3 linked regions of the Nothobranchius furzeri genome follow. The protein of the gene in region 1 interacts with the protein of each later gene in a biochemical or structural test. Links are inferred from orthologs where the notes say so. Each region holds a gene or a part of one and is shown on either strand. Other genes may lie near its edges.

Evidence for each region.
Region 2: the proteins of mcm5 (region 1) and mcmbp form a complex in vitro, tested with the Homo sapiens proteins (2 studies listed by BioGRID). The link is inferred for Nothobranchius furzeri from reciprocal best matches to the Homo sapiens genes MCM5 and MCMBP.
Region 3: the proteins of mcm5 (region 1) and stat1a form a complex in vitro, tested with the Homo sapiens proteins (2 studies listed by BioGRID). The link is inferred for Nothobranchius furzeri from reciprocal best matches to the Homo sapiens genes MCM5 and STAT1.

Annotation. Positions count from the first base shown.
Region 1 is NC_091752.1:68,041,368-68,045,750, reverse strand, and holds the start of mcm5 (DNA replication licensing factor MCM5), read right to left. Parts: upstream 2,833-4,383; 5' UTR 2,698-2,832; coding exon 2,525-2,697; intron 2,175-2,524; coding exon 2,048-2,174; intron 1,968-2,047; coding exon 1,839-1,967; intron 1,760-1,838; coding exon 1,587-1,759; intron 1,504-1,586; coding exon 1,348-1,503; intron 1,264-1,347; coding exon 1,094-1,263; intron 1,017-1,093; coding exon 845-1,016; intron 722-844; coding exon 610-721; intron 533-609; coding exon 389-532; intron 317-388; coding exon 251-316; intron 178-250; coding exon 1-177. UniProt on the Homo sapiens protein: Acts as a component of the MCM2-7 complex (MCM complex) which is the replicative helicase essential for 'once per cell cycle' DNA replication initiation and elongation in eukaryotic cells.
Region 2 is NC_091752.1:5,506,728-5,510,560, reverse strand, and holds the end of mcmbp (mini-chromosome maintenance complex-binding protein), read right to left. Parts: intron 3,784-3,833; coding exon 3,666-3,783; intron 3,593-3,665; coding exon 3,427-3,592; intron 3,347-3,426; coding exon 3,213-3,346; intron 2,769-3,212; coding exon 2,601-2,768; intron 2,524-2,600; coding exon 2,435-2,523; intron 916-2,434; coding exon 789-915; 3' UTR 552-788; downstream 1-551. UniProt on the Homo sapiens protein: Associated component of the MCM complex that acts as a regulator of DNA replication.
Region 3 is NC_091743.1:83,724,235-83,727,838, forward strand, and holds part of stat1a (signal transducer and activator of transcription 1a), read left to right. Parts: intron 1-706; coding exon 707-748; intron 749-1,973; coding exon 1,974-2,063; intron 2,064-2,142; coding exon 2,143-2,241; intron 2,242-2,312; coding exon 2,313-2,448; intron 2,449-2,557; coding exon 2,558-2,613; intron 2,614-2,696; coding exon 2,697-2,791; intron 2,792-2,863; coding exon 2,864-3,003; intron 3,004-3,100; coding exon 3,101-3,289; intron 3,290-3,368; coding exon 3,369-3,444; intron 3,445-3,517; coding exon 3,518-3,604. UniProt on the Homo sapiens protein: Signal transducer and transcription activator that mediates cellular responses to interferons (IFNs), cytokine KITLG/SCF and other cytokines and other growth factors.

The sequences.
Region 1 (4,383 bases):
CATGTCCCTCTGCTGGTCGTGCTGGTCCTTGATGATGAAGATCATGTCGAAACGAGACAAGATGGTGGGCATGAAGTCAATGTTGTCCTCCCCCTTCGTGTCGTCCCAGCGACCAAACACGGAGTTGGCGGCGGCCAGCACGGAGCAGCGGGAGTTCAGGGTGGTGGTGATGCCCGCCTGGAGGAAGCGAGGACGTCAGGATACCACGGCAACCGTCTCACATCCAAGATGGCGCATCAGCTGTACGTACCTTAGCGATGGAGATGGTCTGCTGCTCCATGGCTTCGTGGATAGCCACGCGGTCATCCTCCCTCATCTGAGAAACAGAAACCGCTCAGATTTAGACTCCGAACCGGGTCTAACGCTGACGCTCGGGCGTCGGTCCTACCTTATCGAACTCATCGATGCACACGACTCCTCCGTCGGCCAGCACCATGGCCCCTCCCTCCATGATGAACCCACGAGTGCTAGGGTCTCGAAGCACCGAGGCGGTCAGGCCGGCTGCGCTGCTGCCCTTCCCGGAGGTGTAGACCTGAAGGTCACAGACACACCGCTGAGCTTCTCCTCATGCTGGCGTCAGAGCAGCAGCTCCGGGAAAGCTTCTCTTACCCCGATAGGCGAGCACCTCTCCACAAACTTCAGCAGCTGAGACTTGGCCGTACCGGGATCTCCGAGCATCAGAAGGTTGATGTCGCCTCTGCGAGTGAGACCGTCGGGCAGCCTGGAGGAAGAAAATCAAAAAGGTTACCTATTAAAGTCAGATAAGAAACATTTCTGCAGATTAAATATCCACAAAATTCCCTAAGGGGGGGGGGGGGGGAATGGGGCGAGGTGGCGGTTTCACCTCTTCCTCGAGCCTCCGAACAGCAGACAGGTGATGGCCTTCTTCAGATCGTCGCTGCCGTAGATGGAGGGAGCTAAAGACTGAGCCAGAGAGTTGTAGATGCTCGGAGAAGCAGCAAGAGCTCTCAGCTCCTCCTCCTCCTGAGGAGACACGGACCCGGTGGCACCACGACCTGGACGGGATGAAGAAGGGGAACGTTTCTCCGGGTGGACTAGAGGCCAGCCTCGTGAAGCAGACGTAAAGCGGTACCTGCTCCTTCTGTGTCCACCTGGATGCCGACCACTCGTAAGTAGGACGCGCGGATCCCGACGCCGATGCCCTTCTCCTTGCCCTTTGCTTTGGCAGCAGCCATCTTTTTGATGGAGTAGATCCCCAGGATGGTAACCCTGTTGCCAGGCACCACGCGGTCACACATATACCTGAGAGAAGAGAAGACACCTGAGTGAGCAGAACACACCGCCCCGGCTCAAACACCCACGCCACGCCACGCCGCCCCTCCTTACCGGTCACAGTACAGCTGCAGGTGCCGGGGGATTTCTCCGTGTGGCACGGCATCCGGAGACTCCTGCAGACGGAGCGTCTGGAAGTCCACGCAAACGCAGCGGTCCGGAATGATGAAGTACGGGTCCACGGGGCACTTTGCTCTCCCAGGAGCGTCACTGAGAACAAAAGGGGTGCGTTAGCTTCCTCGCTGATGGCCGAAAGCCCGGGGGAAAGCGCGGCTCCTCTGGGTTACGCCCACCTGGTGCACTTGCGGGGCAGAGCATAACCCTGCAGGCCCGGCGGCAGCGCGATGTTTTTGATGGTGTTCCTGCAGCCGCGACACTGGAGGCACACCTTGGTGGCCTTTGCTTTCACCGCCGTGGCTGAGATGATGATCCCGTGCACCTTCACCAGACGAGACACCTGCTCCGACTGTACGAGAAGAAAAGTAGTGTAATCCAGTCCTGCGCGACGACTACAAGGCTCTTAAACAACACGGGTCAGCAGGTACCTTCAGGGTGCGAATGTAAGCATGGTGGGCGTCGCTCTTGAGCATGACCTGGATGTCCTGCACCTCCTCCTCTCCTACAGGTCGAGGACGGGTCACTTCATCCGCCACCTCCTTGGCAGCTTCCTCCAGCTGTTAAATGAAAATCTGTTAGAGGATGTCGCTGGAAAGGTTCGCCTGACAGTTGGGTCTGGCTCCAGCAGAAGACTCACCAAGGGCAGGTTCTCCGCAGGAACCTTGTAAAGGCAGTCAGACAAGTCTTCATCAAAGCTGGCCAGGTCCTCCATCTCCACCTCCACCCAGAACTCTCCCAGGGTGTAGTGTCTCTTCAGCTCATCTCTGATGGGAAGGACGGACAGATGTTACAATCCGGACAGACTACCAAAATAAAAGCAGGGTGAAGAGAGCCCATTCTTGTGTGTGTGTGTGTGTGTGTGTGTGTGTGTGTGTGTGGCGTGGCACGGGGAGGGGGGGTCGCGGTAGCTCTCCCTTAAAGATGGCGGAACACACTCACAAAAAAGCCTCATTTCACCCTGAAACCTTAGATCTCCTCACCCAGCTCTTATTTTGGTAGGTACCTTCCGGATAAAGACTTCTTTTATTTTAACATTTTGTGTCGTTTCACTTCGAACATTTACCTCCTTATTAAAACCAGTTCTTTGGTGGCTGTGGCCGTCTGTGTTGCTCACCTGTATTTGTAGGTGAAGCCGGTGCGGTCCGTTCCCACCCGGAACTGCCGGAGGAACTCTCGGAACCGCTTCTTGATCTGAGCCCGCTTCTGCCCGCCGTCGTCCCCGCCGGGCGCGTCTCCTCCTCCGAAGCTGTCGCTGTAATAAACTCCGGGAATGTCGAAGCCAGACATCCTGCTGCAGCTCACTAAACTAAAACTCGGAGCTGGGACACGACTTTATTCTCAGACAGAGCGATCCCAGAGAGCGGCACTAACAGGAACAATGCGCCAGAGCGAAGTCCTTTCGCGGGAAAAAACGATCTGCTTCCTGTCTGTTTCCCGCGAGCCGCTTGTTTCGCTACACGCCTCTTCTGTTCTCTGATTGGCTGAATTAAATCCGGCTTCTTTCTATTGGTCACAGAGGGTTCCAAAAGGCGTGACGTTACGGGGGAAGGTGGAGCTTAGCGCTGTTGTGGCGCGAAAAACACAAAGGGGGAGGGGCGGGAGCGTCGTGCTGCCCAGCTCAACATGCAGAGGAGCCATGAGAACATCTAGCTCGTTTTCGCAAACGTTTCAGCTGTTTTGTCTTCAAAGATCAGACTTTAACATTTATTAGAAACATATTTCAACCTTTTTCATGCAAAACTCCAGTCTGGGTGCTTCAGGCTCACACGGCTTTGGAAGAGTTTGAGACTTCCCATCATTCTGGTTTGTGGGTCTGGACTCTGGACACCATTCTGTTGTAGATCAGCTGTGTTTGGGATTTGGTCCCTTTTCATGATCAACTTTACTCCAACGCGTTAAAAGAGTGCAACACTGAAAAAGCCTTCTTTTATTTTTATTTCTACTTATGATCAATCAGCCACTCGTGTTTCTCGCAGGCTGAACACGAGAATAATCTCCTACACCAATCTCCGGCTGCTTTAGCTTCTGATAGAAAACAGACGGTGAAACTCTGGGATTAGAAAATCCTGACAGATCTACGTCACCCTGTCACTAACATTCATGGACTCACCCATCTTGACTCACGACGGGGGAGGCTGTTGTTTAACGTCCAGGAAACCGCAGAGAATGTAGCTAACCATTAGCATTAGCAGCAGCACCACACAGCAGAAGCTCCTCAAGACTTGTGTTATTAGTGGATAAAACATTGTTGCAAGTCAATGGTAGAGTCGCGTTGCTGTCATCCAATCTGGGGCGAGATGTCCAAATAGCTCAGCTGTAACGTGGGCAACTTTTAGGTCAGATAAATAGTGCATCGGTATATTTTTCACCCCCGAGAACAACTTACAAGACATTTGTTCCTACTAGAACAACTCCCTTAACCCTCTGGAGGCAGGCGTCTGCAACAGTTAAAGCCTACCTACCTGGTTACTCCACATAAGTATTTCATGAGCACTTTTGAACTCAGAAGTACCCCTGAAGGACTTAGTTGTTCGTCCTTTTATCAAAACTTATTTTGAGCCTGAGAGGGTTAAACATCAGAGACATAAACTCACTTTTCAACCATTAAAAAAAGATGAGTAGACTCAATGAGTGCAAGAAGCCCAAACCATCAACCCTCCACCACCGCAGGTATGATCCTGTTTGGTATTTTCATGAACTTGCATTGAAACTAGACACATTATTCCCATCAAGTGACTCCTGTGTGCAGGTGCTGCCATGTTGTATTTTGGTTTGTGCACTTGGGACAAGCTCTAAGTCACTTGTGCACAATCATCCATCCACTTAATCCTCACTAGGACGACATGGAGCTGGTGCCCATCTCCAGCTGCAGGCATTGGGTGAGAGGAAAGGACCCTGGACATGTCCCCAGTCCATCACAGACCTTTGTTTCTTCTTAATTATAAATCTCAGTAAGACAAACACAGCCTCGAG
Region 2 (3,833 bases), about 63 Mb from region 1:
AGATGAAAGGGGTCCCATCTTTGTAGTCCTCACTCCCGTTGGCTCACCAGCAGGTAACGCGTGGATTTGTTTGTCTGGTTCGTGTGACACGAGACTTCAGTCTTGGCTGCTTTGCAGGTGCTGCTTTTAGTACGTGGTGCTGCCAAAGCTGCAGCTGTAGCGCAGTTTTAACGCTTACGGGAATTTTAATCAGGTTCAACACTGGAGCGGTTCGTTTTATCTTGTGCTAAAAAGCATTCCTCCTGATGCTGTCAGCTTTTTTACTTTGACACATTTGCTGGCTGTTTTGTCTCCTTTTGTTTTCACACCAAGTGCATTTTTTGTGTCCTTTCGTTTCGACCCGAGACACAAATATCAGGTTTTTTCTGTTGGCGCTGCTGAAGCACATTTCCCCGATGTCACGTCTCCTCTTCTGTACCAACCTGACCGATGACATTGTTCTCCACCGTGTACTCAGATGTGTTGTATATTAAAGGATCCTATTTATTATCTTTGGGTGTTAATAAAAAGAACATTTTACACTTTTTGGTCTGGAATGAAAAGATGACACATGAGCTGCACAAGTTTTATTAAATCTATTTACTCGTGAGACAAACTGTTAAATGCACCGTGCTGAATGTAAACAGGAAGTTGGCTCTGCAGTTACACATTATAAACAGTCGGCTGTTATTGAGTCATACCTTTAATTCTAGTTGGAATATATAAATCTTTAGTTTACAAAAAGGTGAAAAAACTTTATTAAACTGTTCTAACAAAAGGAAAACCGTTGAGCTGTCCCGCGCGTGAGCTCACGGCTCGTTGCCGTTCACGCTCTTGTGTTGCTCTATTCGGCTCCTTCGCAGTGTCTCGATGTGTTTGGCTCTCAGCCAGCTGTCTCTGGACAGGGACGTGTGTCCCAGGCTCAGGGACAGCAACCTGCGGACGGAGACGCACACACACTCAGTCGGGTTTCAGCTTTTCACTCATCTTGAACAGGAAATCTAGATGCCGACGGTCAGAAGGCATCGTTCGGCGCTCAGTTAACCTTCACGAGGAGCCGCAGTCTGGACAAACGGCTTTTATGACCGCACCGATGAGCTAACGGCTAGGCTGAACACAACACCAGTTACTGATCTGTCATAACGGTTCACGCTCAGGTTTCTACAATAAATGCTTATTTATGTGGAACTTATGGAGTAAGTGTCACCAGCAGCGGCCAGATATGGCAAATAAAAACAGATTTTAGAGCATTTGTTGTGCAGATGTTATTCAGGAACATAAATGTACATTTTGGTCAACTTTACTCATTTTTTTATATTTTTGCAGTGGAATAAATGCCTTTTAAGTCGTACTCCGGGGACAAAAACTCACAGAAGGCTGCCAGAGAAAAAAAAAGTTACAGACGACAGGATTTGGATTCCTGATATTTGGACAGCTCTGATTGGCTAACAACAACACGACTCTACCACTGACTGCTCTGCAACGTTGATGTTTCATCTCCACAAATAACACAAGCCTGGAGAAGTTCTGCTGTGTGGTGGAGTTGCTAATGCTAACAGTTAGCTTCTACTAGCTGAGACGTTCTTTGCTGTTTCCTGGACGCTAAACCAACAACAGCCTTCCCCGTCGTGAGCCAACATGGGCGAGTCGATGAATGTTAGTGACAGTGTGACTTAGATCTGTCAGGATTTTCTAATCCTAGAGTTTCACCGTCTGTTTTCTATCAGAAGCTAAAGCTTGGTTTATGCTTGACGCATTTACTTTCCACGCGGTGATGCGGCTCGCGGATGGAACGCGCTTCACAACTCGCAGCGTTTATGGTTCGTGCGGCTTGTCTCTGCGGTGAGCCAATATTCTCCCAAACTGTAGGGGGCAGCATGGAGCTCTATGGCATGCATCCAACACTACACCATAGTAGAAGTAGAAATTACTGTTTACAACATGGCATTTCAGCATTTTTAACAGCGTTCTCGTCTTTTCCGACAGTGCGAGCTATTTCTCTCCAAGAATTATTAACAACATGTTGATCACGGTGATCTCTGAGAGCTGAATCATACAAATGTCTGTATTTACGAACCTCTGCCATACTAGATCTTGCCGGTCCGCCATGTTTTCCCGCGTCCGTCCGTCCGCGTGGTTAGAAATTTTCCGAGGTGTGCGTTGCGGAAATTCTGGGCCGTGCGGAGGTGCGGTGGAGGGGCGTGGTTGTTAAAATGACGCAACTTTTCCGTGCGGCCCTCGCGGACGCGTCAAGCATAAACCAACCTTAATGCAGGAGATAGGTGTAGGAGACTATCATCATGTTCAGCCTGCATGAAAAACCTCAGAGTGAACTGTTAAAATCAGAAATAATTAGTTAAAAAATAAATGGTTCCTAGAAGAACCTAGTCTTCAACAGCCTTGTAAGCTAATAAAACTCAGTTCTACTTTGGAGGAGAACCTAGTCTGAGCTCACCTGGCCACTACAAGCAGCCTGTGGAGATCTTCTGCAGAAACGCCCTGGGGGTCGTCCTTCCTCATCTCCACAAAGTCCTCCTCCACTGACTTGACGGGCAGAAAGCAGAGATGTAAAAACAACCAAAAGGCTCTTTAACCGTGTCCTGGCACACGTCCAGCCTCACCTTGGTCACGTCGTCTGAGATGCTGTAGTCGAGCAGACGTGCCACGCCCAGATAAACTCTGAACTTGTTCAGCTGCGAGGACACCTGCGGGTGGACGTGGACGCTCCTGATGTACTCCTCTACGTGGGACGAAGACACTTGCGGTTGCAGATGTATGTGACAGTCGGACTGTAGGAATAGAAGCGTCAGGACTTCACCCAGGAGCCAGAGAAAGCCTCGAGCCTGAGCCCACGGTTCAGCATAAACAGTCTGACGTAAACGCTGCCATGTACAGGTTTGTTTACAGCGCTCGGGGTGAGCATATCGCCCCATGTGACGCCACTCCCTGGATTGTTCCTGTAGCACGCAGCTGCCAACACGGCAACTCATTAGAGCAGCATCCAGGAATAGCACATGGCGCATTCCTCGTGCTGCCGGCAGCAGCGCGTCACCCCGGCTAAGGCTGCGGCACGGAGGGGGGTCTGCAGCTGGCCAGTGGCAGCTGTTAGCACAACCTCCAGCTTCTGACGCGGCTGCGTCTCATGAGAAACTAGTGGAAACCCAACCGGGGTGCGCGTCTTAAATAGACAGGAGAGAGTTTACAGTCTGCAGCAGCACCTGATTGGCTCTTACCGGCAGCAGTGAGCGACCCTCGGATGCGACGAGCACGTTAATATTGCAGGGGAACTCCATCTGATGGTAGTTGAAGTCATAATCAACCTTCTGCCACGAGATCAGGTTCCCCATGGCCGTGACATTACGCACACCTACAACACAGGAGAGAAGATTGCTTACCAGATCATTAGGATGATCAGTGCTGCCCCCTTGTGGCTAGCAGAGGTCCCACCTGTTGTGTCCAACTGTCCCTGCTCTAGCTGGGTTTCATCCAGGAAGAGGGAGGTGTTTTGGGACAGCTGCAGGGTTCCGCTCGTCAGGCGGTTTGCGATGTAGTCCTTCTTAGGCACCAGCCGCAGCTGGTTCATGTTCTGGAGGCTCATGCCCAGGTAATGGGACTGCAGGTAAAATCATTTAAGGCCCATTAGCAGACGAACGCACGGAAACGGAAACCTCTGGGTCTGGACTCACCGAAGGCACAAGCTGCTGGATGATCTGGTAAAGGCGCTCGGCGTACGGGGGCGCGGTCGGACAGCCGCTCAGGTTCAAGGTGAACTTTCCCAGGGGGAGAACATCCCTTCTGGCATATCTGGGAGGGAGGAATCAAACTCAGGCGAAAGCATCCCCAAAGCCACAAAA
Region 3 (3,604 bases), on another chromosome or scaffold:
TTATATAGGATGGCTTGCCGAGCTACTTCTGTTATACTTTGGATTACTCTTCATGAGTCAGACCCGGGGCTGTGAAACCCAGCGTGCTGTGTACATGCCAGGTAGACAAATTCCTAATTAGCAGCTTGTAGACGCAAGACTAAACTCTGCTGTTTGCTGCAATTACAAGTCCGATTTAGATTTACCATTTTGAAAAAAAATGTAAATATTTTTAAGGCGGCAGCAGGTGATAAACAATACATTTTGAAACAATATTTAAAATAACTTGGAAAATGTGTCCTTTTCTCAAATATCGAATTTGATGGTAAGTGTGTTTGATGTATTTTGTATTTTAATGAAAAATACATAAAGTAGCCTGAAATGCATCGCTACAGGCTAAACGCTCTCAAAGTGAATTGATGAGGCACCCCAAAACATTTACTGGCCCCCCCTATGGAAATGTTCTGGGCGCGCCACTGCTTCTGTTCAGTGTTCTGGTGCATTTTCAATTTTTGATTGAGGAGCACTTGAGGATTGTGACAACCCTGATGTAGACGTCTGGTTTTATGAGCCAAAGGTTTCAGGTGGAAGAGACTACGTCTGTGATGGGATTGGGATAGTCCCGATGAGCTGAAAATTCCTTGTTTGTTATGTTTTGCCTCTCAGCCTTTTGGGTGAGACTAAAGATGTAGAGTTGCTTATTTGACCTGTTTTTGTCTCCATTCAGCAACTGAAAGAGCAGAAAACCGCCGGCAACAGGACAAACGAGGTATGAGGCTTCAAACTCCTCTTTATTTCAGTTCCAGAGGTCATTTATTACAGGAACAGCTTACATGTCACAAATTCTTCCGGCTCTTGGAGGGTGCAGATGCTTTTCTCCTCCTCTCCTCCATAACTTATCCTCAAGGCCCTTTGTCTGTCTCTGCGTGCTGGGTGTACGGCTGATCTGCATTTTCTCTGGAAACTGGAAACTGAAATTCACTCAAATGGATCTCGTCAGTTGGTCACTCAACGCGATTGATAAAATCTTTTCAACGATGAGAACGGGAGAAGGGGCTCCCAGATGCCCCTCCATGACAGACCAGCTGTCTGTGGAGGACTCTGAAGATGTGTGGATATTCGTGGTGTTGGTGTCGGGGTTCCTGCTGATCAGCATTGGAGGCTACCTGGCTTACCGGAAAATTAATGAGCTGTAGAGGAATATTGGCTTGATCCCGGGGCTCAGAGATGGATTGCACCACGCTGTGAATTCACAGACTCACATAATTGTCTAGATGAATCGTAAGCTTGGGACTTTGGCCGAGATTCATTCATTGGCACAAAGATGGATGCTGTCAAGGATAGAGTGGACGAATCAGCACGGATTGGGATAGATTAATGCCCATTATTGGGATTTTGAGAGGTTGAGGACCAACAAACTGTAAGACAGAGAGGAAATTATCTCTGTCTGGCCCCAAAACAATTTCTAATAGGAATCTGGCGTCCTTGAGTCAGCAAGGCTCCAATGAAAACTCCCCCCTCAGAAGATATGTGGAATGTGCCGTCGCTCTGGCAACTCAACTCTGTCTTTCCCTCCACCTGAACCAATCCTGATGTAACCCTCTTTTCTCTATTAAGGTAGCACGACTCAGGTTGCAAATGACCACAGTCACCAATTCTTGTCATGTGTCTATGCCCATGTATGTCTGATCTCTGAGTTGTGTGTACTGAAACTCTTAATTTCCCTCTGGGATTAATAAAGTATCTTTGATTTCATGTTTATTATATATGTATGTAAATGTCAGCTTTAATGACAACACAGATGTACAAAATAAAAACTTTTATTTTTATTTTTGCATCACAAACTGATTTGATCTGGAGAGTCAAAACATTTCTCCAACAAACGTCTACGTCTCGTCGTCGTCCAGCTGCTGAAGTGAAGCAGATTTAGTTCTTCGGGTTTGAGATTAATCCCTCCCTCGTCCCTGTCTGGACCTTTGTGTGTTTCTGTTCAGGCGCCTCTGATCGTCACAGAGGAACTCCACTCGCTCAGCTTTGAGTCCGACCTGCATTTGCACCATTCTGGACTCACCATCCTGCTGGAGGTGAGACGAGACACGAACACAACTTCTGCAGACCAAACTCCAGCGAGCGTGTGTGTTGAGGTGTGTGTTTGTGTGTCAGGCCGTGTCTCTGCCCGTCGTGGTCATCTCCAATGTGTGCCAGCTACCCAGCGGCTGGGCCTCCATCCTCTGGTACAACATGCTCACCACAGAACCCAAAGTGAGACCCGGTTCTTCTACCACCGTCAGCCCTGTGTCGCTCTGCTGTTAACAGAACCATCTGTCCTCCAGAACCTGAAGTTCTTCCTCAACCCTCCAGCGGCGAAGTGGTCTCAGCTGTCCGAGGTTCTAAGCTGGCAGTTCTCGTCCGTCACCAAGCGAGGACTGAACCAGGAGCAGCTCAACATGCTGGCTGACAAACTCCTCGGTCAGACACACAAACAGATCCTGGATCAGCCTGTCTGATCTGGTTCTGCTCTCTTCTTTTACCCTGGGTTTGAGTCTTTATATCTGAACGTTTTCGTGTTTCTGTTCAGGAGCCAAAGCTCAGAGGAATCCAGAAGGACTCATCCCCTGGACAAAATTCTGTAAGGTGAGCCCGAGTCGCCCTGCAGCACCTGCTGTCATCCTGTGCTGCTGGAGCAGAACCTGAAGTTCTTGTCGTTTGCTCGGCAGCAAGGAGCCAACGAGAAGACGTTTCCCTTCTGGCTGTGGATCGAAGGAATCCTGGACCTGATCAAACGCCACCTGCTGTCCCTGTGGAACGACGGGTGAGTTGCCGTGATGACGCAGCGCTTCCTCGAGGACGGAATCCAACTGATGGGTGTGTTTGTTGTGTGCAGCTGCATCATGGGCTTCATCAGTAAAGAGAGGGAGAAGGCTCTGCTGAGCGATAAGTGTCCTGGGACTTTCCTGCTCAGGTTCAGTGAGAGCAGCAAGGAGGGAGCGATCACCTTCACCTGGATCGAGCATGACGTCCACGGTAACATCTCCTATGGGGGCCACAATACCTGTCACCTCCGATGAGCTCAAACTTCCTGTTCCTAAAACAATCTACTTCCTGTTTCTCCTCCCCCCAGACAAGCCGGTTTACCACTCTGTAGAGCCGTACACAAAGAAGGAGTTGACAGCCGTGTCTTTGCCGGACATCATCCGCACCTACAAGGTGATGGCAGCCGAGAACATCCCAGAAAACCCTCTGCGCTTCCTCTACCCCAACATTCCCAAAGACAAGGCTTTTGGGAAATACTACCCCAAACCGTCAGAGAGTAAGCCTCACAGCTGCTGCTGAGTTTCATTCAGCTCCAGAATAAAACACATCCTGATCACAGTTTCATCGCCTTCCAGCTCAGGAGCCCATGGACGTGGAGAACACGGATAAAAGCGGCTACATGAAAACGGAGCTCATATCCGTCTCAGAAGTGTAAGCCTTCACTAAACAGACCTGTTTAATGTTGGAATAACCCGAGGTTCTGACTGGTTCTGCTCTGGTCCAGACACCCTTCCAGGCTGCAGGACAACATGATGCCCATGTCTCCTGATGACTTCAAGGCAATAGAGCACCTCGTTGGTCCTCGAGACCT